4 linked regions of the Nothobranchius furzeri genome follow. The protein of the gene in region 1 purifies or fractionates together with the protein of each later gene. This does not show direct contact. Links are inferred from orthologs where the notes say so. Each region holds a gene or a part of one and is shown in the gene's direction. Other genes may lie near its edges.

Evidence for each region.
Region 2: the proteins of sirt6 (region 1) and chd4b purify together in Homo sapiens (affinity purification with mass spectrometry; 3 studies listed by BioGRID, with this or other methods). This does not show direct contact. The link is inferred for Nothobranchius furzeri from reciprocal best matches to the Homo sapiens genes SIRT6 and CHD4.
Region 3: the proteins of sirt6 (region 1) and g3bp1 purify together in Homo sapiens (affinity purification with mass spectrometry; 3 studies listed by BioGRID and IntAct, with this or other methods). This does not show direct contact. The link is inferred for Nothobranchius furzeri from reciprocal best matches to the Homo sapiens genes SIRT6 and G3BP1.
Region 4: the proteins of sirt6 (region 1) and usp48 purify together in Homo sapiens (affinity purification with mass spectrometry; 3 studies listed by BioGRID, with this or other methods). This does not show direct contact. The link is inferred for Nothobranchius furzeri from reciprocal best matches to the Homo sapiens genes SIRT6 and USP48.

What each region holds. Positions count from the first base shown.
Region 1 is NC_091751.1:57,911,000-57,918,582, forward strand, and holds the start of sirt6 (NAD-dependent protein deacylase sirtuin-6), read left to right. Parts: upstream 1-3,307; 5' UTR 3,308-3,381; coding exon 3,382-3,447; intron 3,448-3,754; coding exon 3,755-3,882; intron 3,883-7,583. Other genes in the region: cdc34b (cell division cycle 34 homolog (S. cerevisiae) b), read left to right, coding at 961-1,095, 1,209-1,419. UniProt on the Homo sapiens protein: NAD-dependent protein deacetylase, deacylase and mono-ADP-ribosyltransferase that plays an essential role in DNA damage repair, telomere maintenance, metabolic homeostasis, inflammation, tumorigenesis and aging.
Region 2 is NC_091745.1:74,030,586-74,038,275, reverse strand, and holds the start of chd4b (chromodomain-helicase-DNA-binding protein 4), read left to right. Parts: upstream 1-3,191; 5' UTR 3,192-3,340; coding exon 3,341-3,404; intron 3,405-3,850; coding exon 3,851-3,975; intron 3,976-7,690. UniProt on the Homo sapiens protein: ATP-dependent chromatin-remodeling factor that binds and distorts nucleosomal DNA. Acts as a component of the histone deacetylase NuRD complex which participates in the remodeling of chromatin.
Region 3 is NC_091741.1:69,281,629-69,289,026, reverse strand, and holds the start of g3bp1 (ras GTPase-activating protein-binding protein 1), read left to right. Parts: upstream 1-3,213; 5' UTR 3,214-3,348; intron 3,349-4,765; 5' UTR 4,766-4,787; coding exon 4,788-4,882; intron 4,883-4,987; coding exon 4,988-5,069; intron 5,070-5,917; coding exon 5,918-6,091; intron 6,092-6,161; coding exon 6,162-6,252; intron 6,253-7,398. UniProt on the Homo sapiens protein: Protein involved in various processes, such as stress granule formation and innate immunity. Plays an essential role in stress granule formation.
Region 4 is NC_091743.1:4,789,794-4,797,277, reverse strand, and holds the start of usp48 (ubiquitin carboxyl-terminal hydrolase 48), read left to right. Parts: upstream 1-3,071; 5' UTR 3,072-3,586; coding exon 3,587-3,720; intron 3,721-4,026; coding exon 4,027-4,147; intron 4,148-4,270; coding exon 4,271-4,412; intron 4,413-7,484.

The sequences.
Region 1 (7,583 bases):
TCACTTGATGCAGTGCAGCTCTTATGTTTTTGTTGTTGCAGGTGGTATACCGTTAACCTAACCTAATTTCCTCATTTGCATTTTTGCTGCAGACACATTAGATCTGTAGATCAGGAAGTCTGTCACAAAGGCTGTTCCTTTGGCCACAAACAGAAGCAGCTTCTTTCTGTTTCCCATAACGACTCACTAAAACCTTACTCACAATGCTACGTTTTATAAATGTAATGTAAAGGCTTGTCAGTGCGCATTGTGCGCTCTGCTGAGAAGGTGATTGGCTGCAGCCCTCCATCTCTCCAGGACCTGTACGTCTCCAGAACTCGGGGGCGTGCAGGCCGGATAACAGCTGACCCTTCGCACCCGGGTCACAGACTTTTTGAGCCGCTTCCCTCAGGCAGGAGGTTACGGTCCATCCGGACCAGAACCTCCTGCCATAAGAACAGCTTCTTTCCATCTGCCGTTAGACTTGTGAATAGATTATAAACACACAACCATGCTGGTCTTCTGTACTCGACACAACGTCACGTTATCGGCCATGTTACCATTACCTGCCATTTTAGCTGAAAGTTTTATTCTAGTTTTTTTAATTATTATATTTTATTCTATTTTATTCTATTTTTAATCTTATTATTCATGTTATATGTAGCACATTAGTGCCGAAGCAAGTTCCTAGTTTGTGAATTGTTTGTTCACTGAAAATGGCAATAAACCTATTCTGATTCTGATTCTGGTAGGGTGGTAGCACATGGGTCTGACAGGTTTTTTTAATACATGTTTTATCAATTAGCTTTAAGTTCCTAATGTAATATGTGCTTCATTGTTTATTCTAATAAAATAGTAGATGAAATAAGTAATTTAGGCTTGTGACATTAAAATATTTTTTATGTGTTTAAAACTTTTTAATTCACCTAAAGTCGTTTTCTTATGGTTCTATACTAAGTTGCCTTTGTTTTTTGCTTCTAGGACCATTTTGCTGAGCGTGATCTCGCTGCTAAATGAACCCAACACCTTCTCCCCTGCCAACGTGGACGCCTCTGTCATGTACCGGAAATGGAGAGACAGCAAAGGCAAGGACCGGGAATATGTAGAGATCATCAGGTAAACATTAGTGTAATGTTATTTAAGACAAACCTCAAATATTTCTAAAAGATTTTCAAAGCCACACCATCCACACAAAAGTAATTCAGTCTTCATAAAACAAATCCCTTCAGGAAACAGGTGCTGGCCACAAAGGCAGAAGCAGAGCGAGATGGCGTGAAGGTGCCCACCACGCTAGCTGAATACTGCGTTCGTACACGCGCCCCGCCGCCAGACGAAGGCTCTGACCTCTTCTATGACTATTACTATGAAGACGATGACGTGGAGGGGGGAGACGGCGACTGTTGCTATGACGAGGATGACTCGGGCAATGAGGAGTCGTGACATTCTTGTTGTCAGAAAACCCAACCTAGCTGACGAATGCTCATCCTTTAACTCTTCCTGGGTTGCCAGATATTCTTGGTTTGCAACCAAGAGAGATTGGAAGCTTCCTTCTAAATCAGTACAAGAGCTTTTTTCCTTCAGCCTCAGAGGTTAAAACTGATGCCTCGTTGCGAGAGGGTCAGACTGTGGTCACTTTTGCACCAGCACAGCCACCAATTTTTTTTTCCAACTTCGAGAACTTTTCATCACACTGAAGCTTACTTTGCTCACAAAATCCAGTCCTGGTTTTAGTATGAAATATTTTTGGTTGGGTTTCATGATCACTGAACTGGTGCAAACTCTTAAACCATCACTTCACCTGTTTTGCATAGCTGTATTTCTCTAATTGTAACTGGGGGTGTCTCACTGGTTGTCCGCCTCGTGGTGGAAACTTTTACAGACTTCAAGATGGACAAAGGACTGCAAGTGTCCCATATTTTACAGTTTCTGTCTTTGATTGGCAGGACATGGAGGAGTTTTCATGGACAGTATGTTCAAAGTTCTCATGCATGCCAGAACTTCTTTGAAAGCTTTTTGTCTTTTTATTTTTATTTTTTAAATTGGTGGACTGTTTCCCAACGTCATGAGAGACTCGTGGCAATGGAGGGCCGTCCCGTCTGCTGGAGTCTGCTGAGTCAGCTCCTCATATGAACATTCTTACTAAAACATGAAATTGATCTCTGCTGGGTTTTTATCTTGGATGTGTTTTTCTGTCACTCAGTGTGGGGTTGTGTTTTTTTGAATGAACTTGTTATTAAAGTTGTGTAATAATCAAGTTGTTGAAGGTTAGAGGGGCAGAACTAATTATTGATTAGAATTGTATTTCTCCTCAGCGTTGCTCTCTGAGCCGCCTGATGGACCCGAAGAACTAAAGCAGAGTGTAAATTAAATTTTAATACGCTTTGCCAGATGTTTCTCTTTTTGCTTTCTTGCAGGCCCTATGATTTTAGTTTTTCTTTGTTAGATGTTCGGCATGCACTGGAATAGGTAGTCTTGTGTCGGTGTGTACTACCGAGATCAAACTTCTTCAGCCCTACAACTGAAAATGAAATGTTAGCCCCCTTTATTGATTTATTTTTTTGTAAGAGTGGTTTTGATTTTGTTTTTAGAGTGTGTGGATGTCCTATGTGTAATTTTGTCTTCAGTAAGCATTATTGTTTTATTTACTTTAATTGGGACATCATATTGAATTACTCAGGATAAAATTATACGCGACAAAACAATTGAGACGAGCAACTCCTTTCCTCTTTCGGTGGTCTTCAGTGTCAGTTCACAGCTTCTACAGGAACCATAATCCAATATGCACACGTATGAATGATCACCATATGGTTTTACTTTTCTGTCTGTTTTTTTTTTCTCAAATATTTAAAAATGAAAAATAAAGATTAATTTGAAAGAAAAATGCATACTGTTTTTAAAGCTTGGAGTCATTTAAATGATTTTTTAAAAGTTGTTCTGCAGGTGAAGATGGAAGATTTTTGTTTAGTTTTAGTCTAAATGTAGTCATTTTACAGATATGTTTGAGAATAAATGTCCTTGTTTGTGGAATGTCTGATCAGGTTAAATCCCATTTTTAAAAGGCACCGAACCGTTTTGTTCTGTGGGATTTTTCAGTTTTTATTATCAGACTTTTTATTCTAATATATTCAGTTTCATTGTGTAATTTGGATTTAAATTTTTACTCAATTTCTAACAGCTGTACGGTCTAATCTAATCTCTACCACAAGTCTAAACTGGTCTGAACGAAGGTGGAGCGCACGTTGAGGTATTTTAATTCCTGAAGTTCTTGAATGCAGCATGTGTCGGCGCACAGTGATGTCGTCATTCAAACGAAGCACCCTAAACCTGGCTGGAAGAAATACGCAACAGATAAAACAAGAACAGTTTGTAAAACAAAGAAAAAAAAAATAAACAGTTACAGTCATGTCTGTGAACTACGCTGCAGGACTATCGCCTTACGCGGATAAGGGTGTTTGCGGTCTACCTGAGGTAACATTTAGGTGTTGTATCGCTCCGAGAGCTTTTCAAAGAGCTAGTTAAATTAGCAACGTAGCGTCGCTTTCATTGAGAATGCATTTTTGTTTGGTTCGTTTAAGAGTAATAATATAAAGACGGTGTTGTAGAGCAGACCGTCTGTGCTGTGTTAGCCTCTTTGTTATTTAACATAAACACTATGAAGCACGGTGGAGGATAGATGATGGTGTGTTCTTTTGTTGTTGCCACACATCTGGCACGGTTGTATACAATAGTCGCCCCCTTGCTAATTGTTTAATTGTGTGTTTTTGATCTGTGCCAGAGTTTTGATAATCCGGAGGAGCTAAAAGCAAAAGTGGAAGCCCTCGCTCAGCTGATTAAAGAATCTCAGTACTTGGTTGTCCACTCTGGAGCTGGAATTAGCACCTCAGCAGGCATCCCTGACTTCAGGTGAGAGACAATATGTTTGTTCCTGCTAATGATTAAAAGCATTCTAGCGGATTTTTCCATTTGATGTGATCACACACACCTGAATTCGGATCTTCCACTCATCAAAGTGGTACAGCTGGTCCTCATTTGGTAGATTTCTTAGCTTTTATTTTGTCTTTATGACTGTAAAAGAGTAAATCTTGGTTCTCATATGTGCAAACTAATTTTGAACAACTTAATCAGCTTATGATGGAAGATATGTATTGTTTATGTTTATGTATTTAGCAGACGCTTTTGTCCAAAGCGACTTACAAGTGATAATCGGCATGTTGCCCCTGAGGCTAACAACAACAATAACAACAACTTGACATCAATAATTGTATTGTATTGTGTTATTAAAGGTGTGGAACACTGGAAACCATTTTTTAAAATCGTATTTCTGATTACAATGGGTCACTCAGAGTTTTTCATGCAGGCTGAACATGAAAATAGTCTCCTACACCTATCTCCTGCATTGGCATCTGATAGAAAATAGATGGTGAAATGCTAGGTTTTTAAAAGCCTGACAGATCTACATTACACTGACTCTTAACATCCATGGACTCACCCACCATGGCTCACGATTTGGAAGGCCTAAGCCAAATTTATACTTTTCCATCTGCGTCAGTACGGAAACACGCAACACCATTATCCATTGTTGAGAGGGCTTTCCAACAGGCAGCCAAGGACGGACAGAGTCGAGCCCACTTTTCTAAACACAGCAGTAGCTCAGGAGGTAGAGCGTGTTGTCCAGTAATTGGAAGTTTGCAGGTTCAAGCCCCGCTCAGTTTGTCACTGTCATTGTGTCCTTGGGCAAGACACTTAACCTACCTTGCCTGCTTGTGGTGGTCAGAGGGATCGGTGACGCCAGTGCTCCACAGCCCCGCTTCTGTCAGTGCACCCCAGGGCATCTGTGGCTACATCGTAGCTCATCCCCACCAGTTTGTGAATGACTGATTGTGTTGTGAAATGCCTTGGGGGGGGGGGGGGGGGGGGGGGGGGGTTGTATGACCCTAAGAAGGCGCTATACAAATACAGGCCATTTACCATTTAAACATCTGTTGAACAAGACAAGAAACTACAAGCTTACCATACCATAGTTTGTTTATATAGCACATTTAAAACGCAGCATGGGAGCTGCCCAAAGTGCTGCACAGGCTGGACCAAATCACGACCCATCAAAGCAGCAACAACAGAGGATAAAAATGCCGATCAATAAAAGCAAATAAAACATGAGGAATACTAAGAACACATCAAAACAATAATACAATAAAACAAAACGACTCACGGCGTAAAAGCCAAATCGTAGAAGTGGGTGTTTAAACGAGATTTAAAAACCGCCAATGATGGAGCCTGTCGAACTGTAATAGGTAGAGTTTCACAGCTTTGGGGCAGCATGTACAAATGCTCGTTCACCCCATGATTTGTAACGCATCGGGGGAGTGCAAAGCAGCAGGAGGCCAGCCGACCTCAACGTGCGCGTGGGTACATAGGGAGTGAGCAGGTCAGAGAGATTAGGAGGTGACAGGTCGTTCAATTCAAGTTTATTTATATAGCGCCAAATCACGACAAGAGTCTTCTCAAGGCACTTCACATAATAAACATTCCAATTCAGGTCAGTTCATTAAGCCAATCAGAAATAATGTTTCCTATATAAGGAACCCAGCAAATTGCATCAAGTCACTGACTAGTGACTTTACAGCAATCCTCATAATAAGCAAGCATAAAGCGACAGTGGAGAGGAAAACTCCCTTTTAACAGGAAGAAACCTCCAGAGAATCCTGGCTCAGTATAACACACACACACACACACACACACACACACACACACACACACACACACACACACACACACACACAGACAGACAGACAGTAATGTGTCTATAGTTACATTGTGATTTCTTAGTAAATATTCTATTTGGTGAGAGATAAACTTTATTGTATTTATCCTAGTGGATCTATAATTAAACGGATAAACTAGCAGTAGCACATCCAACGTCAAGGAAAGCAAAACGTTATTATCAGGAGAGGGAGAATGTTTGAGTGGTTAGCAGCATTGTGCTAGACGATGGCCCCCTCCATGAGGCCACCACAGCTCAGCAGAACATCATTGTAGCTTCTTCTTCGTTGAGTGCTTTAAAGACAAAAATCAATACCTTAAACTGTACTCGGAAAATGACAGGGTGCCAGTGAAGATGTGTCAGGACTGGGGTAATATAGCTACGTTAGTGCATGTTTGTCAAGAACCTGGCAGCAGCGTTCTCGACGACCTGCAGCCGATTCAGGGCAGAGACCGGAGCACCAACTAGGAGGGCGTTTACACAGTCCAGGCGAGAGGTAATAAAAGCATGGATGACTGACTCCAAATGCCTCCGTTTCAAGATTGGTCTGAGGCGAGTAAAGCTTGTGATTGGCCATTTCTTTAAAATTTGTCAACAGCACCTCCATTTGTCCTTCAAAAAATAAAGAGTGCCGAAGATATCTAGCAGCAGACACAGAGCAGCTTGAAGAATAACTTGTGGAAAATCTCTGAAAATGTGAGTGTTTTATTCACCCGTGACTAGAGGAGTAAAAAGCAACCGTTTTATTTGTGGATGGAAATGACAGGAAACGTGGGTTTAAAGGTGGCGAACACACAAAGAGGTGGCGAAATATGAGGGACAAATTTGTCTATGTTAAAAGGAATCTGAAATACAAAAATAACACAATATAAACTCCATAGTAAATACACTATCTTGGACTGGATACAGGACTGTAATGGTGACAGGATACCCCAGAAAAGTGCAATACCCTACCCTAACCACCAACCCTCTGTTGTACTGGTGAGGAATTTCTTTGCAACACTCCACAGCTAATGGAGAAGTATAAGTAACCACTTCAAATGTAATGACTAAAAGAGCGTTCCAGACCTTTAATTGTTCAAAGTCTACCATTTATAGATCAGTGTGAGCTTAGTTCACTAATGTAAACCAAGCATAGTTTTTAAATATAATTTTACTTGGTTTCAGAGACAATTGTATAAAAAGAGCAACTTCTAGAAATGTCATAGATCCACAAACTATACAACAAAGTTTAGATTGTAGCTGTCTTGTAGTTTTTTTCAGTTGTATTTAGATGAGAGGGTGTATACGACCAGAAACTCAACATGAGATGGACTCCACATCAGCTCCTTGGGTAGTTTTAGACTCTTTGGTATATAAAATAATGTATTATCCATTTTTAGACTTCTCCTGACTGTTGAAGGTTATTTTCTTTCATTTAGCTGTAGGCAGATTTTTTTAATGCTTTATTTTTCATGATCAGATTAACATTTTGGTTCATTAGTGATTTCAGTTGTAACCATTAAACTTTATTGAGGCTAAAGTTATTTATATTTTTACATAGATAAAATAAAGTGGATATTTTGAATTAAGGTCTAACATTTTCTTTTGTTTTATTTCAAATAGATTGAATATTAACATTCAGAACTTGCCTTACATATTATGACATATTATGCAAAACTCATCTTTTGCATCCTTGTGCTGCCATATGAATGTCTACTCCCTCTATAAACACTCCATTTGTGGGAATAAAAACCCGTCCATCTGTTTTCTGTCAGTGTTTGATTTCAGAAAATATGTTTCTAAAACAAGCAGTTTCAAAAAGTCCTTCTTGTGATGTCACAAATGGGGAAATTGGCAAAGA
Region 2 (7,690 bases), on another chromosome or scaffold:
GAGGTGCGGCCCGTGTGAGCTGGAAAGATAGCTGTGCACATGGGACGAAGATGAAGGGAGCGGATATCTGGATGAGGTGTTGGTGACGGTGTTGCACGTGAACCCACGTGCACACGCATAGATGTGGGGGCATTCAAGCAACAGTAACAGACAAACAGCCAGACTTCAGCCTTTGTTGCTATGCGATCTACTCATATGTGCTGCATTGTGGTCACTGGAGTAGAGCGGAAGGCCCATTGGCTCTCGTTGTCTTTGTTTTCACTGTTAATGCTAAAAAACTTATTTCTCTATAAATAAAGAAAAGCTGCACATGTTTTAAGTACTGTTTTCAGTTCACACAGTCTATGAATACATTTCTGACCATTTAAGGGTCAAATAAAACTACAACAGCTGCAGAAAAAGTTAATGATTCCATATCTACTGTATCAGGAGGGAAATATGAGAAAAGCAGCACTGCTGCTGCTGCTCTAAACTAATTGTCTAAAGATAAACCCAAAACGACTCTTAAATAATACAATACTCAGCTCAAAGGCAATAAAACCCAACAGAAAGGTGTTTAGCATCGCAGCAAGAAGCAGCCAGTTCTCAAGTCAGAGTGGGTTAGCCAGAGCAGTGGCGCGCCTAGGAAATTTTCATAGTGGGGGCCAGTGAAAAAAATTTGGGGTGTCCCCCCCGAATTGGTCTCTCTGGTAACTCTGGGAGAGTTTAGCCTGTAGCTGTGCATTGCTCCTTCATTCAATTTCAACAAAAAACAAAAGGCCTATGTATCCAGAACATTTACCTCAAATATAAGAAACACAAACATGAAAGAAAACAACATTTCAAAAATTAATTTCATTTTTTTTTTCAAAATGTATTGTTTTAGGATTTTAAAAAAGCTTTTCAAGTTGCTTGATGCTCTCTCAACAAAATTATCCACAATTTTTTTTGCAAATGGTGAGCCTCAATGACATGCACACGTGTGTGTATATACATACATACATACATACATACATACATACATACATATATGTATGTATATATATATATATATATATATATATATATATATATATATATATATATATATATATATATATAGGTGATTTATCAAATGAATTATTTATTAAAATAAAATAAAATTATTTAGTAAAATTAATTTCCTTTTTTGCTTTAACATTCATGTCTTGATTAAAGAGGATGATTGTTTGATTTGTGTGATTTATTAAGGGGCGAGGACCTTTTATGAGAGGGCCAACAAATTAATTTATCAGGTATGGCCATCCATGGCCCCCATGCCACCCTCGGGTGCGCCACTGAACCAACTACGTCATAAATACGTTTTATTTATTTGCCAAAAAAGGACACAAAGCTAGGTTTTAACAATATGTTTCGAAAAATGCATGGGACGTTGAAAATAAAATTTAAAGGTGATGAATCTGAGAATTGTAGAAATTACAATAACTAACTTCAATGCTTTTAAGAGGAAACAAGTAAAATTCTTTATTAGTAGAAAACGTTGCCTTTGTCGAACAAAACAGATTGAAACTGATACAATAACTTATTTTACCACATTACGTAGCGAAGAAATGTAAATAATTCATTTGGCATCCAAGAGGGTCAAAACTGATTTTGTATAAAGATGAATGCACATAAACTCACATTAGCATTTAAAGGACATGTGGCCTTAATTCTACTTTGGATCTGTTCAATAGTTCATCTTACTCCAACAAGATGGCTCAAAAAGTAAAAAAATGCTGGTTTACCGAGCAGCTGTTGAAGGTTAGCACCCAAACGTGAGCACCCAAACATATGAATGTTTTAGTCATGTTCACAACATTGTACAATGTTTTGTTAGGCGGTGCGGCACAAGTCTAATTTACTGGATTACAAACTAAACTTGGAAAATTAATTTGCATTTGTGTGTTTTTTATGAACCAATGTCAAAACCAGAACCATTCATCACTCTGCACAGGTGTTGCTTGCTCGGGGATGCAGCTGAATACCTGATCGTACATGAGCTGCCGATGGAGTAAATCATACATGAGCTGATGGAGTAAGTTGGAGGAGTCGGGTTGTGATGATGAAGTGGTGAACCAGGAGGCCTCAGCCTCTTTCAGGGTCTGGTTAAACGCTCCAGCTCAGCGGGCCTGTGTGACCTGCGCACCGCGCCGCTGGTATGTGGGCTACCTGTCTGAGCCCCACAAAGGGGCAACACCGGAGTCTTTCTGTTTTTACTTTTAGGCACTCAGTGAGTATTATGGTCTGTCACCAGAGGACTTCACTTCAGCTCCCCTAGAGACCATCAGACTGTTTTTTTTTTTTTTACCTTTTTGTCTATTTAGGTGTTGCATATTATGGGATGTATGCTGCCACTGCTGGAGTATTATGGTCTGTCATGGAGAGCGGGAGGGGGGTGTCACCATGACAACGGGGTTGCTAAGGGGGGGGGGTGGGACTACTAGTGGAAAGGGGAAGGAGTGTGCATGCTATGAGTCTAGTGCACGCATGTCTAGCACCTAGCACTGGCAGTGTACGCGTGTGCGCGCGAATGGTGAAGGGGGGTGGGGGCAGGCTGAGTATTATGGTCTGTCCGTTGCGAGGTAACTATGCAGAGTCCTGTGCGAGTGTGGGAGGGGGGTGGATTATTATGGGATGCCTGTCCCCTTTGTGTGTTTGTGAGGATGTTAGCTAAGCGCTGCCTGTTAAGGTAGGGGGGAAGGAGAAGTGGGGGACGGAGCCGCGTGTTTCGGGTCATTAAGACAAGAACTGCTTGTTACTGCTAACACCACACAGGGATTAATGAATGGACACCAAAGGCCGACAACAGGAGCGGGAACAGTTTAATTTGTGTTGATTCTCGCACCGAGGGAGAACTCACCTCACGCCGGGACTACACGCGCAGTACAGTAAGTTTCCAGTGTGTGACGGTGGAAATTTCAAAGCTTAAACTTTTCTCTAGTGACAAGACGGCTCGCGTTTGCGGTTCCTTTTGAGGCTGTCGTTGAAAGCCACACTTTACTCCCGTGTGGGGCTCTCTACCTGTAAATCAGCTAATGTTAATGTCAAAGCGGGTAAAATCTTTTTAATTTAACTTGCTTGAGAGGACAGGTGGATAATTGGACGGCATGTAAATAACAAACAAGGAAGTTTCGTGCCTGTGCAATGTATTGTTATTTTTATTTATTTTTTTCTCTTGCACCCAGACCCCCCCCCCCCCCGCCTCCTCTCCCTTCCTGGACACCCCCGGTCCATTATCCACCAGTCCCACGTCATTTTCCCTCCTCCCTCGCTGACCGAGGAGCAAGGTTTACGGAGGATTTATTCGGACACCAAGAATTCAAATAGAAACGCTGGGAACATGTCTTGCAGCGAGGATGAGAGGGAGGACTTTGGAGCCGATGACGAGCACTCACTTCTTCACGGTAAGCTCGCCTGCTTTCCTCCCCTCCTGAAGAAGGTCCATCTCTGTGTAACTTGAGCTCGCCTTCAACGCGATGCTAGCGTTAGCCCAAGCTAGCGAGGAGTAGTCGGCTCGGGTCACTCGCCATGATAGATTAGTTAGCTAACTTGGACAGCAGAGTGTTCGGAGTTTTGTTTTTATTTTTTAATTTGTTTTCGTGTAACCCAGCCCACCAGCGTGTCCTCGCCACGGTGGGCGTGAACTGTCAAAGTTTCAACTACAAGTTTCAACCTGCTGTTGTGGCATTTACGCTGTGTATGTGTGCGCGCGTGCTCGGACATTTGCCAGTCGTGCCACGGCGCGCGCGCGGTCTCCTTGTTTTTGTTTTTTTTCTTCCCTCCCCTCTGGTCTGCAGCAGCGGTGCTTTCTGTCCGTCTGTACTCTGCCGGTAACCGTGTCTCTTTACAGACGAGGACGAGCCGGAGGATGCTGTCTCTGACGCAGAAGAGGCACCCAAGTCAAAGAAGAAGAAGAAAGCCAAAAAGAGCAACCGGGAGAGCAGGAGCAGCAAGAGGCAGAGACCCATCCGGGAGGCGAGTTTACCGCTCTGATAAAGTTTTATACATCCAAATAAGCTCTTTTATAAGTTTAGGCCAAAGGTCAAGGTACTGTAGAAGGCATTTAGTCTGTTAAAACTCTATATTTAATACAAAAATAACAAAAATATGTTAAGCTATACAAAGTTATGATGGTGAGCCCCCCCCCCTACACATTCTGCTGTGTTTTATTTTTTGTCACACTTAAATGTTGTAAATAACATTTCAGTGTCAGACAAACGGTCTAATGTCTCAATCATGCTTGAAGGAAGGTTACATTGACACAGATTTTCTAATCAGGCAGCTGGGGGCTGTTAGTTTTTCTCCATTTGACATGGACAAAGAGGGAATTAGTCTTTTTTTTAAATGTGTGAGCCCAGAGCCGGCACAAGGTGACTGCTTGGGGTCCCCAAACAGCACCCAGATGACTTGAAATAATGTTTTAATAACTTTAAATAATACAAATGTGACAGTGTGTGTCCTGTCACAGTGTCCTGATTGATCATGCGCCCTGGCTACTTGGCCAGTGGGATGTCCCTTTGGCTGACTGGTTAGAGCGTATGACTCTCACCCGGGAGTCTGAGGATCGAATCCCGCCTGGGCCCTCGTTTCTCCACCGTGCCACACAAAGTAAATAATGCTAATCCCAGAAAAATAATTAAATATTACTTTCTGTTAACTCATTCACTGCCAGTGACGGCAAAAGACGTCATTTGCATGTTTTTACTGTGTGGGCGTCGGAACGAGCCCCCGCACCGTGAGAACAAACATCTCAGCTCTAAAGCCGATCTTTATCCGCATACGTCACACGTCACATGATCAGGAAGCAGCAAATCCATGTGGTAGGAGATCGTTTTGGGCCGCTGCTGTAAAAAAAAGTGAGGCGCGAACCGGAAAAGCTTCTGCCGATCACAAGTCAACAACGGATTATGAAAGAACGGATAACGCTCAAAACGCGCGGATTCTTCCTGATGTAAGAGGTGAGTTGGTAGTTTTGGCGTCGACATCACCCTAGGGCGCAACATTCTCTGACTCTTTAAAAAAAACTGTAAAAACGGTGAGAAACGCTGGCAGCAAAGGAGTTAAGGATGCACGTTTTCCAAAATGTCTTTAACCGGCTATTGGTGCCCCTTAACAGTTGATAGCCGGTTTATCAGAAACCCTAACTTTAACCAATATATTTGAAATATGTTTATTAATATACCACATTTAAACAACACTGCATTGGGAAATGCTAAAGTAAGCATTTTTGTTGATTCATTACTCCTGTAAAGTTAAAATTAATAGCCATCAAAACACTGATGTGATGTGATCTGTCAGTTTGCCCCAGGACAGCTGTGGCTACATCGTAGCTCATCCCCACCAGCGTGTGTATGGGTGAATGAATGACTGTGTTGTGAAGTGCCTTGGGGGGTTGTAGAGCCCTAAGAAGGCGCTTCGCAAATACAAGCCATTTTTTAAAAATCGTAAGCTGCTTACAAATTATGCTAATGATAGGATGGTACACACATAGTGTGGCCTAGGAATGATGAATCATCTGCTGTTGACTTGTTGGTATGAAGGCCTCCAAGGAAATCCTGCTCAGGGCCCCACAAAGGCTTGGGCAGGTCCTGTGTGAGCCCACGGGGAAGCAGAGTCTGTACTGGCATTTGTTATTCAACACTGGCCGGCAAAAACTCCAGAGTTTGTGATGGGATATTAGCCAGTAAACAGGAGCAACCCAGAAGTTATTTGTTGTACTGCTGAAGCCCGGACTACACTGCATTTTTTGGCCTTCCTAGACAAATCCCTCATTGTGAAGAGAATTGTAACAAAAAATGGTCAGTGTGAGGGTGATTTGCAAGTCTGTGGCCGTCCAGTGTAACCGGCTCTGCAACAGCTTAATGAGCATTCTTACAAAGTCAGCTTGCAGCAGTTTTCAAGCTTTGCTTCAACCTCATCTGTGCCCCAGACAAGCTAGTTCCCAAAGTCAGAGACTCTCTTGGTCAGCTTGCTTCTCACACCAAACCTTCTGTCAGGAATCTTGGCGTGACCTTTGACCCAGCTCTCACCCTGGATTCTCATGTCAGTTCTCTTGTTCGCTCTTCCTTCTTCCATCTCAGGAACGTTGCTAAGCTGAGTTCCATTCTGTCCCGCACTGAACTTGAGACAGTCCTCCACACCTTCATCTCCTCACGCTTAGACTACTGTAACTCTCTTTTCACGTGTCTGAGCAGAACCTCCCTGAACCGTCTACAGGTGGTTCAGAACGCCTGTGCTCGGCTTCTGACCAAGTCCTCCAAACACACCCACATCACCCCGCTTCTCCTCCAGCTTCACTGGCTGCCAGTCAACTTCAGGGTTCATTTCAAGATCCTGGTTCTGGTCTATAGGGCCTTACATGGACAAGCACCATCTTACATTGGTGATCTTCTTAGTCCCTACACCCCCAGCAGGTCCCTGAGGTCCAGTGATCAAAGCCTACTGGTTGTGCAGCACCAGGCTAAAGGTCAAAGGTGACAGATCATTTGCTGCTGTGGCCCCCAGACTCTGGAACTCTCCCCCTGAGCCTGAGATCAGTGGACTCAGTGGTCTCCTTTAAAAAGCAGCTGAAGACACCTGTTCAAGCTGGCTTTTGTATGACCTTCTTCACCTCTCTCTCTTTATTCTGCTCTCCCCACCTATTCCACCTTTTTCAGGATCCACTGATTTCCCTCTTTCCTGTTCACACTCTCTTTCTAAACATTTATTTAAATCACAGTTGCCTATTTTTGCTCATTTTAAATATATTTTTAAACATTTTCTAAATGCTTTTTTATATTTTTACATTTTTTTGCTTTTGTGAAGCGCCTCGTGATTTTTATCTTGAGAGGCGCTATAGAAATAATACTTTCTTCTTCTTCTTCTCACAACTCCTGTCTGCAATTGACCAATGAAAATACAGCCATGGAGTCACGCGAACAGCTCGTGATGAGAGTACAATACAGGGTTTTTCCTGTCTCAAATTGAGGCAGAGGTGGTACCATCCTGACCATGCGCCAGCACATGCATACTCTGTGCATTCAACTGCCTCACTTTTTAATGGCAAAATATTATAAAAGACTCAATAATGTGCATTAGATTGGTGTTTAGTTCCCTTTTTCCCATCTGATATTTATAGTTAAAAAATTTTAAAAATTTTGACCTACATTTCAGTAACATTTTAGGTTTGTTTTAATAACACTCGTCTTAGTCAAAATAACACATAAGTATCTCCAGTAAAATATAATGCATTTCATTAACATGCATTTGTAATGGAAATGGTAATAACATTTAATTTCTGCTGCTAACAATCTAATGGTGGCATGTCTATTATGTACGGGTTGGCAATAATCCTGTTCAAATTATGTTCAAAGATAGAAGCGTTTGTGAATTATATATTACAACGGCTTGTAGGGCTGGGCGATATGGCCTCAAATCTATATTGCGATATAGTCTGAAGCATGTGCGGTAACAATATATATTGCGATATATTTTTTCCTCTGTTTATATATGTCAAAATGACATGCTTTTAAATATCCTCATGTGGCAAATATATGCCACATGAGGCATATAGGCCTCCTCCTCCGCCCACTCCATGCTTGCAGTCACTGCCATTCTGTTGTCCCAATGTCAGCAGGGTGCACCTCTTAGTGACGTGTGTTATCGCGGTATTGCGATATAGCCAAAAACTCTTATTACCCAATTTTATATC
Region 3 (7,398 bases), on another chromosome or scaffold:
ACTCGACCCCGGGACTCCAAAAAGGGTGGGTAATCTGAACTGATATTTGGCCCATAAGCACAAACAACAGTCAGGACACATGTCCCGACCCGAAGGTGCAGGGAAGCTACCCTCTCGTCCCCCGGGGTAAACCCCAACACACAGGCAGAGAGTCTTGGGGCTAACAAAAAGCCAACCCCAGCCCTCCGCCTCTCACCCGGAGCAACTCCAGCAAAGGAAAGTGTCCAACCCCTCTCAAGGACTTGGGTTCCAGAGCCAATACTATGTGTCGAGGTGAGTCCGACTATATCTAGCCGGTACCGCACAACCTCTGCCACAAGCTCCTGCTCCTTCCCCGCCAGCGAGGTGATGTTCCATGTCCCAAAAACCAGTTTTCTTGTCCGGGGATCGGACCGCCAAGGCTCCCGCCTCGGTCTGCCACCCGATCCACATTGCACCGGACCCTTCATGTTCCTCCTGCGGGTGGTGGGCCCACAGCTGGATGAGCCCATGTATCCAGTTCAGGCTGGGCCCCATGGGCGAAAGCCCGGCCACTAGGCGCTCGCTCACGGGCCCCAACCCCAGGCCTGGCTCCAGGGTGGAACCCCGGTAACCCTCCGGGCCGGGTACTCCGACTCTTTGACTTTACCTCCATGAAAGATCCTGTGAACTGTTCTTTGTCTCACCCTTCACCTAAGACCAATTTGTCATGGGAGACCCTACCAGGGGCACAAAGTGCCCCAGACAACATAGCTCCTAGGATCATTAGGGCACTCAAACTCCTCCATCACGATAAGGTGACGGTTCAAGGAGGAGTGGAGCAGTATCATTAAATTAAATCAAATATAAAAACATATTTAAAAAAATTTCTTTTACTCTTTTTTTTCTTTTGGGACCAGATCCATTCTAATTCGGTTTAATATCACGTCGAGTTTATTCCAGTTAAAAACCTCGGGATGGTCCAGTTCAGTTTGAGTGAGACTGAGCTGATCAGTTCTGTGATCATAATAAATGGTCCATCCTGAGCATGAATGGAGACCTTATGTAACAAGAACTGACTCAGGAGAGGAGGTGGTCTGTAGGACGACACAAGAGGACAGAAACAAAAGGAACTGGGATTCTGCTGCTCAGCATATTTAATTTACAGCAGACAGCGTCCAAAGGGACCTTTTCTTGTTTAGAAGAGCGTCATAGATGTTTTTTTTAATAATATATTCTACCTACAGAGATTTTTGTGTTATCTGAAATGCTTTTATTTCTATTTGTTCTCTTTTTATTTCTTAATAACTTGTCCCATGTAGTTTTGTATTCCACGTACTCCTGAGCTTTTCTGGTCCCAGTGTGTATTCACACCCATTATTGATGTGGAATTTATGACCTCCATATAAATACTCTGCTTGTTTTGTTAGTCATGTTGTTTACTTAAGCCGGTGTTCTGCTCTGGTCCAGATAGTCCAGGTTTCTGCAGAACTTAGGTTACACTTTCTGCTTTGGTTACTTTGAATTGTTCTTTGGTCTTCCATTTAGGATTTCTAAAGGTTTCTCTCCATGCAGCTGCTTCAGAACTCTTCCTCATCACAACTGCTTTTCACATTAAAATAATTAGTGAAGCCTCGAATTTGGTTGATCATTTTGCACCATCTCTGATCAGAACGCAAACGAAAAAGTCTTAAAAATTGTGATAAGAAAGCAAAGACAGGGATTAAACACTGTGTGTCAAGCTAAACTCTTTTTGACATTGTAATGTGATGTGAGTAATTAAAAGTTTGCACTGAACACTTATTTGTAACATCAGAAAATCCTGGCTGCATGAATTGAAGGTGTGTCTATGAAAATCGGCTTGAATGAGCCAATTCAACATGAGAACACGCTGTTCAGATCTGACTGCCATTTAAGGTTGTTCATGTCTTCAGTCTGTCTGTTCAACGTTGTTGCACTGAGAGGTTTCATTTTCCCTGGCTAAGGCTGCTCGTGGTCCCCTGGGAGACAGCAGAGGGAGATCCGGAGCACCCTGTTACCATCTCCACCCGCTCATCCAGACTCCAGCGTCAGGAATGTGAAACAACCCCAGGGCCCATGAAGCCTGAAGTCCCTCCTCTCTGCCACAGCAGGGAAAAAATAATGAGTTCATCATGCTGTTGAAGAGAAGGTTTGGTGATTTAACACATTAAAATCTCATTCAGGTCATAAAGTCATAGGTGTGGTTTTAAGGAGAATTTTAAGAATTTAACAAAAACTACGAAATAAAAAATAAAAAATACAGGTGAGTTAAACATTTGAAGTGGCACCTTTTAGATTTGATGTTTGAATTTTTTTTAAAGAACCATCATCTGTGTTCTGGCTAACTTTTTTAGGATTGTCAATAATTACAGCTGGATTAATTAGTGATTAATAGATAATAGCTGATTAGATAGATTTCTTTCCAGTTTCCATAAAAAAAGCACATTAGCAAAACATTTGTACTACACATGAATCTAATACTTAAGATATCATATGTGAGGAATGACTCTGGAGGATTTCTTTTCCAGCTCCACAATATTCAATTATTTCATTTTGAATTTCTTTTTTCCTAAATAATTATTACAAGTTATAAAAGTTTCTAAAAGGACAAATTTCCCAGGCAGTCTATTGACCCCTCCAAAGTTAACAGAGCTAAGAACAGAAACAAACTCAAGAAATAATAAAAAAAACAACAATTTTTTAATGAAAGAAACAAACTTAAAAAAATCACGTTATGACATTCACAATGAATATTATGACACAGAGAAGGGGGAATCTGAAGATTTCAGTACCAACATAAATATTGTTCAATCAATGTTGTCTCAAATGTTCCATGTTAGGTGTTTAAAAAGTTGTCCAAATATTTATACATTTGTAACTCTTTTGCTTTTCATTTTAGTTGACATAACGTCTGAATTGTTTTGTTTCGAGACAGAATCAGCATAAATCAGTCTAATCTCAGATAAAACGCGCTTGCATCAATCTTCCACAAATTACATTAGCTCAAATGTTGGCCAAACACTTTTGTCGCCTCCAAGTGGAGAAAATGTAACAGTGCATATTGACTACGGGAGACGCCAGTTCTTAAAACCATCGCACCTTAAACCGTTACTCAAACTTCCATTTTCATCCGGGATACTCCTTGGCGCTTTATTTAATTGGTTGCTGACTAAAACCTTAATCTTATTGGCCAGAGAAGCTCTGAGAGGCGGGACATCATGTTCAGTTGCGATTGCGAGGGTGAAACCACCGGTATCCGGGTACTCCAGCACGTTGTGAAGCCGCTAGTTAACAGGCAGCTGCTACGCTGGTTAAAAAAAGTCACATTATTTCAAAGCAACGTTTTCATTTTAATAGTTTGATCAGTTGGTGAGTTGTTTCGTTCCTATTTATGCTATCCTATTTTCGAAAAAGCAAATTTTCATTTCGCCGCGCTTATTTGATTAACTGGGTTGGCGTCCCGGTCTCCGTCTATTTTCTGGCCTTGCGATGATGTTAGCTGGTTTTGGCCATTGTAGCTAAGCTATTACATAGGTGTTATAACTGTGCAGTTCGCTTAATTATTAAATTATTTAAAACACAAGGCTGTTACTGAAAGTTTGAAATTGTAACTTATTTGAAAATAATTATTAATCCCCAAGTTTCGCTTTTGCTATTTCAGGAAATAGCCACCGCCCTTTCAGTCGTGACTCCCGTTTTCTTTCTTTACAATATTACTTTCCACATTTGGAATTGTATGATCGAACCGAATTTGGTAGTGTTTCGTTGGTTTTATTTGTGTATAAACTACCACCTTGGGTGTGTGGTCGCTAAAAGCGAAAGGTTAGACCAGGGACCGTGCGGGACACGTGCTGGGGCTCCTTCCGTAACCTAGCAGCAGACGGGTCTCTGTTCAGCTTTGAGGCCGTGAGCTGCTCCAGCTGTCGTTGTTCAGCTCCGTGGTGTGGCCGGGCGTCGTGCCATGTGTGCTCAGGTTATATCTGGTAACGGCCGCCGGACTGGCCTTTAGTCCCTGAGGCGAGCGGGGGCCTCCATGACTCCATCACGGCTGGCACGGCGTGGCCTTTGTCTGCTTACAGTTCGAGCACCTTTACTCAAGACCGTGACTTAAGATAATAAACACAAGTCCAAGCTTATCCTCTGCGCGCATCGTGGCCCGGTGGCACATTCTGATCTCGATGGATTGCTTTGCTTGTTTCTTTAACTCGGTTTCATTTCATGATGGATGGGATTTCGCTGGTTGTCTTTATGAGGATGCTCATTTCTGGTTCTGAATGATCTGATAGAAGAAGGATTAGACCGTAGCTTCTATGTGACTAACGTAAATTCTCAGGTTTGATTACCTGTTCTTTATTTGCCTCCTGCCTGAGCAGAAACAGGTTCTCTCACCAACTCATTCATCAAATGTTGCCATAATGTGCTGCATAACGCTAGGTGCCAAAATTATTGTTGCAGGATTGTTAAAAACTAAATGAAGACAATAGTTTTTGATGACTATTAGTTATCAATGTTTACATTAAAACATTTTACAGTTAAAAATATTGTCTTTGATCAGGAACCTGAGCTACAAGTTTTTATTTCATTTTTACAAATTGATGTAAATATATCAAGACTAATGATTTCACTCTCTGTAGTCTGTGGAAGTAGCTGCCTTATGAATTTCTCCACTGTCGGATTAATGAAGTTATTTTATTCTGATTCTTGGATCAAATCACCAGTTTCTTTGTCCCTACTTGGAATCACAGTCCGTCATTTTCTTTGTCAGTGACACTTTTCTTATTTGCAGAGATTTCCAGTTGACCAAAGAAATGGTGATGGAGAAGCCAAGTGCCCAGCTGGTCGGGCGAGAGTTTGTCCGACAGTATTACACACTCCTGAACCAGGCCCCCGACTACCTGCACAGGTACGGAAGTCAGCTGCTTGTGGAGGGTTTGATTTTGAAGTTTAAATGGTTTTATGATAAATTGTTAAATATTTGTACAAACAACTAGTTTGTCTTTTTGTTCAGGTTTTACGGAAAGAACTCCTCCTATGTGCATGGTGGCCTGGACAGCAACGGCAAACCAGTAGAGGCGGTTTATGGACAATCTGTAAGTGGGCTTCACCCAGTTAGAGGCATTTTCCAGCGGCAATACTTGGTGCAACTCGGGAGGGTTCGGTTTGGTCTGATTGCTTTTGTCCAACGGCGCGTTTTGGTATTTTTCCCCTGCTTTCCCTCTACTTTTCAGTCCCTCTGTTTTGGTTCCAAGAGCTGAACCGGTATTTCGACTGTCGGCCACTGATTGGCTAGGGGGCGGAGTCACTGGTTGCTCCAGAGCCTTCTGTCTGCTGTCTGAAACCATAAAACTGAAGAGTGTTCAACATCACCTTTATTTTTGTGCAGAGTTGTTTCTGTGGAGCATGCAGGTCACCTCACAGTGTGTACTGATGACCTTGTGCTATTTTTGTCGCGTAAAGATCCCTGCACAAGCAAATGCTGTGGTCCCCCCCATCCGCTATGAGGGGTGCACCCACTTTTTGTCTCTGAGCAGGCAAGGAAAGCCAAGTACTCTGTGGTGAGCCGAGTTAACCCACGCTGCACTGAGCTGTTTTAGCCTGAGTAGTGCTGTTGGAAAAGGCCTGTTAGGTGTGTCTCATAGTCTCATGAATCTAGAATGTGAAATATTCATGAATATATTTTCTTTTCAAGAGTCATTGTTACACACTTGTTTTTTTCTTCCAGAAACTAAGTTTTCTAGGTAGTTTAACATTCTGATGAATGTTTATCAGTACTTTCTGATTTATTAATCCTCACGTAAATTGTTTTATTCTAATGCTTGTTAAAATAACCATTATCGCTCTTGTCATGTAGTTGGATAATTGAGAAATGATTGATTGCTGTTAAATGCCCAAATTAAATCTTCAGTTCGTTAAATCTTTTGAATTTTTTTTTTATCAGGAGATCCATAAAAGAGTGATGGCTTTGAGTTTCCGAGACTGCCACACTAAGATCAGACATGTGGACGCTCACGCTACTCTGAACGAAGGCGTGGTGGTGCAGGTGATGGGCGAGCTGTCTAATAACATGCAGCCCATGAGGAAGTTCATGCAGACCTTCGTTCTGGCACCAGAGGTTGGTATTAGATTATTAATATATTTTTTTCATTGATCTGATCAGTTTATTCACATGCATGTTTTTCCAGGGTACGGTGGCAAATAAATTCTACGTCCACAACGACGTGTTTCGTTACCAAGACGAGGTGTTTGGTGACTCTGACTCTGAGCCTCCAGAAGGTGAGAAACTGTTTTGTTTTATGACCTAAACATTTTTCTCTCTGAAATTGGTGTAATGTAGCAAGTTTAAAAGAGGTTTAAAAAACATTTTTTTAATATTTCTGTTCATAATCGGTCACTTTGGGTTTTTCAAGCAGGCTGAACATGAAAATAGTCTCCTACACCAATCTGCTGCATTAGCTTCTGACGGTGAAGCTCTAGGGTTAGAAAGTCCTTGACGTATCTGCGTCACACTGTCACTTGGCATTCATGGACTCCCTTCCAGTTTTCAATCCAGCGATCACATGTAGTTCAAGCAGAGCAAGAAACCAAAGAGGAAGAACTTTCATGCCAAAGCACAAAGGCAAAACGTGGAGCATTGTATCTTGTAAGTCCCTAAACAGCAATGGTAATTAAGATGGTTAATGGACAGTGTCAACCTTCTTTTATGTTTATAAAAACGTAACATTTAAAGCTAATATGAATATTTAGAATGGACTTTGGTGAGATTTGTTAATGACAAAGGTCAAGTTTGTGAACACAGAATTTGATAGTAAACAAGTAAAAATATTGCACACTCTGCCTTTAACATCCACCATTTTCCATTTTTTGAGATCTATAGAAACTGTATATTGATGGTTTACTGGAGCAGATTATTTGTAACAATGGTTAAACTGGTCCATGGGGATGGGTCTAAGGTAGAGAAATAATCCCTCTAAAACATTCATTTAAAATCAGTTTATTATTCCATTGATCAGGGTATCCGCGGCGTCTTAAAAGTCATGAATTTGATGAAAGGAAAATTAAGACCCTTAAATGTCTTAAATCGATTTAGTGAAGTCTTAAATTTGGTTGCTAACTTGAAAAAAATGTTGGCGAAAATTGCCGTTTATGAAACCAAATGCGTTCATGGGAATGAAAGACTTTTTGTTTTAGGGAAGGTGAGTCTGATCGGGTTTCAGTCGCTCTTTATAAGAATCTGTTTCAGAAAAATGAGGAGTGTTCATCTTCTTCACAAACCCATCTTTGTTAGTGGGTCACGAGTCGCCATTTGACCAATCACAGTCATTGACTACGTTTACATGCAGCCAATATCCGGGTTATGATCGGGTTAAGATAGGTATTCGGGTTTCTGAGTTGATCAGAATAACCCGTTTACAAGCATAA
Region 4 (7,484 bases), on another chromosome or scaffold:
CTGTAGCGAAGCCTCGATGACGTCGACGGCTCGATTCTAAAACTTTGTCGACGTCAGATCCGGTAGTCAACGCACCACGTCCACTTGCTGCATCCCCAGGGGTTTGTAAATAGAAGAGGAATCTGCCTGTTTTTCCTCTAGTTGGCCCTCTTCTCCGCCTTCACTAACATCTCCGCCAAATACCGAAGACCCGGAACAATGTCCGTCCGCTACGAGATTCTTTTCCTGTTTTGCCCGCCTTCGTCTCCCGGCAACGGACAACTACTTCCGGGGTCAGATGCGCTGCTTCGTCTCTATCGCAGATGTAGAAAATCACCGGGAGCGTTTCTCCCTTCATAAAGGAGCTTCTTTCAGACATGAGGAGAGCTGTTTTGGTGGTAGCAGTCTCTCCTCCGTGCTGGTCTGTTTGCTGCTGGGTATTTTTGGTTTATTTAAACTTGGTAACTTGAACTTAACATTGGTAAAGCTACTGTTAGCATATTCGCTAACAGCTTCTTGTGTTTGTATAAGCTGTTACGTTTTGGTTTAGAGTTAATCTTTTTTGTGGTGTAGATCTCCCTTTTATTACATTTAGAGTTTTGTGGGTTTTCGGTTTAGTTTAAAACATCACCTTGAGTTTGGTTTAACCACCCAGTTTAGAGTTTGGACCTTTGGAGATCCTTATTTTGGTCCAGAACCCAGTAATCTTTGCCCAGTGGGACATCCCTACTTATTCGTACTTTGTTTTAATTCCCCACAGGCAGAATTAGTTTTATTATTCCCAACCTGTGGATGGAAAGATTTAAGTTTTTTTGTAGTTGTAAATAAACCTGATCATCATTTAAACTTTAAAATCCCGTGTTATTGTCCCTTCCTTTTTGCACACGAGCCAAACTCCCCAGGAAGAGTCGTAACACCACTCGCCTCACGCTCATAAGTGACCAAAACAAAGCAGCATAGAGACACCCCCACAGAGCCACCGCAACCCACTACACTACACCTTCTCACCATACTAACCCGATATGGAACACTAAACCCGAACTACTTTCCTAATAACACAAACTAAACTACAATATCCAACAGCCAAACTAACACTAAATAAGTATGTGTAACACTAAAAGCTATGCTAAAGATTAGGATATGCTAATGCTATATGCTAATGCTGAACTACTGCTAACCGTCTTACACTCGCTTGCAAATCCAACTTCCAACTCGCCACAAGGCGTGGCCGAGACTCTCGATGCTTTCATAACTTTGACACAGAGCTGCTACGTAGTACTCTACTGGTTTACGTAGTATCTTTCTCTTTAGTCATTGGCTAAAGTGTATTCAAAATGACTCAAACTCTATGTTTAAAGCTGACGGTGGCGCTATAGTATTTAGGCAGAATTTTTAAAGAAAAGGCACCAAAATGCTAAAATAATGAATACACACATTTAAAACACTATTGGACACTCATTTATACAGTTCATCAGCAAAAAAAAGTTAACTGACGTTACTTGCTCTTTAAGACTGCTGCACACACAAAAAAGACTGCTGCTTGGTGGGCCCCCTTGTGGCTGTGGGTGCAATGATAATCCGGCCTTGATTATCAATAACTAGTATAAGCACATTACATTTATCCCTGTCCTTGTCTTCCTCGTGAAATAAATGAACGTTAATCTTACCCGGTAAAAACATGTTCGCTGCTAGTCCACTTGACGGGCAGTTCATCTCTGTCCTCGGTCTCCATCAAAGTTATTAAAAAAATCAAAACTAGTTGAGTTTACATCCTTGTCTGTTAGTGCAGCCAACAACACAGCAAGCTAAAACCATTTTACTATCAAATCAACTAAATAAAAGCGATAAAAGGCTACAAACTAGCTTGTTTTGACTAGCTTTACTGCAGTTTCAACGGGTGTAAACAATCTTTTTGCCGTCCATCATGGTGAAGGGGGAGGTCACATGAGTGGCGTGACGTCACGTGCAAAGGGTCAATTGCTGGTAGGAGCTTCAGAGTGTGTGTATGCTCCTAAGGGTAGAAATTGTATTATTCCAGAACTAAATCCCGGTAGCATATTCATCGGTAACATATGTCCTTTATTGAGGGATAAAGCCACAAATCAATGTATTAGACAAATCATTCAAAGAGATATTGTTTCCAAACATGCAGCTGTATTTTACTGGAACAATATTTACAATGATATAGACTGGAAAAACACTTGGATTCTACCAAGAAAATTTATTATAACTAATAAGATAAGAGAGGTTTCTTTTAAGTTGATCCACAGATGTTATCCGGTAAAGACATATCTGGTTAAACGTAAGAAAAATATTGATACTCTTTGTACTTTTTGCAGCAATGCAGAGGAAACAATATGTCATTTATTTTGGGAATGCACTTATACACATGTATTTTGAATTGATCTAAATAATTTTATAAACACCAAAATTGATCCCTCTTGTAAATTGAAGTTTCACCATATTCTATTTGGCCTCTCACATACCGATAAAATTATTTCAGGAAAAAAAAATATTATTAATCTTCTGATCATTTTTGCCAAATTTCACATACATTGTACAAAATTCTCTCAACAGCGTCCAAACATATTTGCTTTTAAAGCCCTGTTTTCCAATTATCTGAAGAATCTTAATAACAGTACTAACTCCAAAGCGTGTAAAACACTAGAGCTGTGCCGAATGTATAATTTCACTTGTTTTACTTGTTTATTTGTACCTTGAGCATTTTATTTATTTATTTATTTTTATTTCAAATTTTTATCCAGTTATTTTGTTAATCTGTTTTCTCCTAAAGTATACCTTTTTGTTTAAGTATACATAACTTGTTCAACTTGTTATTACAAGATGTGGAATGTTTATACCCTTTCTATATTCTACAATGCCATGTATGTTTGTTATTCAAATGTCTAAATGAATAAAAAATAATAATAAAATAAAAAAGTGCTGACGAAATGAATGAATGAATAAATAAATAAATAAATAAAAGGAGCTTCAGAGCGTAGGGGGCGAGGGCTTCCGCTGCAGAACGTGTCCTGCGTCACTCGTTCACGTCGTGTTGATTTAGAACCGAGAGTTTATTTATTTATAACTTGACGTAAGGGCGCTAAATCTCAAATAAGCTGCAAATAAAATGTGGACTTCTAAGATCATATTGATGAAGTTACACACATAATAGGTCCGATTCCATTTGTCTTCAGCACAATAAATGTGTTAGGTGTGCGTCAGTTTACGTAAACAAAGTAAGCCCTTGGCTAAATTAGGCTAAATGACACGTTAGCTTAACCGGTGTAGCTAGCTAAATATTAGCGATTTCGAGCAGTTTACTACTTTCCACGAAGAAAAGATCGCAGAACGCAAAATTGTTGTGTTGAATGTGTTGCGGCAAGTGGTGCCTGTTTTAATTCTCAATTCAATAAGAGTCATACGAAGCCAGTTTTTAGCTTAGCATCCCAGTGAAGAGTGGCTATTAACGGTCGTATGTGCTCATTTAGCTTTGGCTAGTTGGCTATGCTAGCATTGTTTGGGAACAGCTCGGACTGCTGTAGTCATTTGCTTTCTTGCCATTGTTTATTATTTGTGACTATAGTAAAGTTTGCATCGTGGGATAATGGCACCTCGCGTACAACTGGAGAAAGCGGCTTGGCGTTGGGTGGAATCGGTAAAACCAGAAGAAATCAAGCAAGAACACATAGAGCTAGCATACCGCATCAACCTCCCGGCCTGCAAGAGAGGAGCCTGCAGGTACTTTAACATTTTTAACACGATCGTTGCGCTTCGCTGCCAGCAAAAACACATTATTGACCATTTCAGTGACCAGCCTCTTATAACGCTGCAAAGACACTAGCCTCGGTTTTCAGTTGTGGTGCTGACAGCACTGCCTAATGCTTACTGGCAGCCTCATAAACAGTAAAAAAAGTTAGAAGTGCCACGTTTATGTGCTGCAGTGCTGTGCTGTTGTTTAGCACCGTGGTGCTTCAGTACCACATCCTTTTGAAACAGAAGCCTTGTTTAAAGTGGCTATGATGACCAGGACTCATTTTCCCCTAGGAGGAATTGCAGAGGGAATCCCAACTGTCTTGTTGGAATTGGTGAACAGGCATGGCTTGGGGAGATAGATGAAAACGTTTTCCATAATATTGATGATCCAAATTCAGAACGGCGGGACAAGGTACTTCTTTCTACTATCTGCTCACTCAGCTAGTGTTTCTTAGGTGTTAATACCACCATTGTTCTATCATCTAGACTAGAGCTGATACCTTAATTCTCCCTGTCTGTCTGTGTGTCTTTATAGAACACCTTTGTTGGTCTGACCAACCTTGGAGCAACATGCTACGTCAACACATTCCTGCAAGTATGGTTCCATAACTTGGAGCTTCGAAGAAGCCTTTACCAGTTCCACAATTCCCGAGCAGAGGAACACAACATTCAATCTGGTATAACTACAACTGTATCTGGGTGTGACCTTTGTTGTGACTTTTTCCAGGTTTTAACCCCAAGAATTAACAGCATCCACCTCAGATACGTGGATTTTCAGAGAGAACCAAAGGCAAATTCCACGTTACACTAGTCATTTTAATTTTAGTAGCTTTAGTTGTACTATATATGTATATATATATATATCTATCCATATATATATATATATATATATATATATATATATATAGATAGATATATATATATCTATATATATATATATATACCGTAAATCCTCTAATACAGGCCTGTATTCAATTAACGGCTGGGTCTCATATTTTGGCCGGTGTCGGAGTCGGCGGAGGTGAATAATGGCCGGTCTCTTATTGTGGCCGGGTGGAATGTGGTAACAAGCAAGTACGGGGGGCGGTTGTGTCATCGTCTCACTTTTGATTTGCCAGTGATAGACCGCGAGGGTAACTTTAACCATGCGGAGACGAAGAGGAGGCGAAAATTTGATATCAAGTTCAAAGAGAACGTGCTGATTATGCTGCAGAACACTGGGGAGCAGTAGGGGTTGTATGAACTAGTGACTAGTCGACTTCACTATAGTGACTTTTTATGCCTGTCATCGACTAGTCGCTGTCACGTGATAATGACCGGCAAGATGCAGCCCTCGGAAAAGACAGCAGCCTGCTGTCAGCAGGTGACAAGCTCCTGCGCATCGGGGGGGGGGGGGGGGGGGGGGGGCAACACGCTGTGCCAGAGCGTCGGTACTGACACGCGATCGTTCATGTCGGTTCATTTCCTTTAATGTTTTCTGTCTTTTATTTGCGCCTGATGTGTTTCGCTGCTGTGGAGCGGGGCGCATCACCTTGTCCTCCGGTGACGAACCGATCACTGATGCGGCCGCCAAGCAGCGAGCACTCCGCTGTTTTTGCGGACGGTAGATCTGCGTCCTGAGCACGGCCACAGTAACATTATCAAATTAGGTGTCGCCACCTCAAAAACTAATTTAACACGCGATTGTTCATATCGGTTCATTTCCTTTTATGTTTTCTGTTTTTTATTTGCACCTGATGCATTTCACTGTGGAGCGGGGCACATCACCTTGTCCTCCGGTGACGCACCGATCACTGATGCGGCCGGCAAGCAGCGAGCACTCCGCTGTTTTTGCGGTCGGTAGATCTTTTAGAACTGCAGTTCAAAGGTAACTCATAAGGTGAATATAAATGAACCCAGGTAGCAGTTTTTCTTTAGGATTGAGAGGAGATGCAGGAAGATAATAAACAGGCAGGACAGAAAAATAGTCAAATAAAAACACGTTAGTTTTTGTACCTGGTGGTTGCAACAAACATACACCATGGACGGTAATCAGAGGTGAGGAACAGAAAATGAAATAATTATTTTAATGTTTAGAGCAGCAGGAACTCTGAGAGGCTGCAGGCACATCAGTGAGTTTGCTGCCGCTGCGCAGGGGGAGGGGGGAGAGGGCTGAAGCAGAAACTACCGTTGTTAAAAGAAATGTGTTTAACTTTGAAAATGTGGGCGCAATTTTAATTGTCAAAAACTCCAGCGAACCATTAGCTCATTTTGCTCAAATAGAAATAGAGGCCTGCCTCTAATTCTGGTCCTCCTTCCAATAAAGGCCTGGAGCTTGGTGAGCTTGAGTCAAATACATGCCCGGGCCTGTATTAGAGGATTTATGGTATATATATATATATATATATATATATATATATATATAGAGAGAGAGAGAGAGAGAGAGAGAGAGAGAGAGAGAGAGAGAGAGAGAGGGAGAGAGGAGAGAGAGAGAGAGAGAGAGAGAGAGAGAGAGAGAGAGAGAGAGAGAGAGAGAGAGAGAGAGACTTAGTTTTTGAACTCTGAATTAAACCAACTATTCAATCTTAATTTTGTACACTGCTCAGTTTCACAATCAAACATATAACCAAAGTAAATTTAACAAGTTAATTATCTGACCAAGTATTAAATATAAAGCAGGTAAAAATAAGTCAATGTCAGTTGACAGTTTGTGTAAAGCAGTGGTGTCCAGTTCTGCCACATGTGATTTACAGTGATTAACAGGTTTCAGCAGAGTTAGAACCTGTAATTCAGCCACTGAATCAGGCATGTCGAAGACAACGAAACCGCGCTGCTCTCCAGGACGAGTGTTGGACACCACTGGTGAAGGGCATCATGATCTCAGAGAAGTGCTATTCAGTTCCAGGCCTCAAGGGCCGGTATTCAACACGTTTTGTGGTTTCTCTGGTCCAGCACACTAGATTCTTCTTTAATCTAGGCAGGCTGGACGCGTCAGGGACACATCAAAAGGGTCCCCGCATCCGCAGTCACTTCGCTAGCCACATTGTACTTGTTGGACAGCACATGCTTCACCCTCCACAAGGCCTCAACCAGAAACCTCAAGAACATCCTCTTACCCCTCACAACCACCACACCCACTCCCTCACCCCCACCTCCAGTTGACAGAGACAGAGTACAAGGTCTAGATGCACCAGCCCGTACCCCCACATGACGCACCGCCTCATCAGCAGACACCTTATGCTCAGCCTGAAACTGCCCCACCTCCACCGCAGTCCTATATGACGCACAAGCCCTAAAAGCTGCTTGATACTCCCACCACAATTACAACAGTGGGTTAAGCCTGGCGGCTTTGGCGGGGGGGGGGGGGGGGGGGGGGTGTTGCGCATTCCGTCCCGCAGTGCTCCTCTGTGAGAGCGGGGGGGGGTGGTTGCACACGTTCCGCTGCTGTTTCTCACCAGTATCAGCTGATGGAGGGCTCTAGTTTTGCTGCGCCGTTCGTGTCAGCGGATACGGTCGGGTCAGGGAGGGGGGCGGGGCATGACGCTTAGCCTGGCGGGTGGGCAAGCAAAGCCTGGCGAGCCGCCAGGCTTATAGAGCCACTGGAGGAAACCCTGGAGTAGTTTATGATTTTTAAAACAGTTTCAGGCCCAAAATGGGACACTTGACAGGTGTGATGCTGACATTGTGGATGAACTCTGCCACACAGACCAAATTAACACAGCCCACCGTGAGGTTGTGCAGCTTTCTTTTGAACGTGACACGAAACGAAC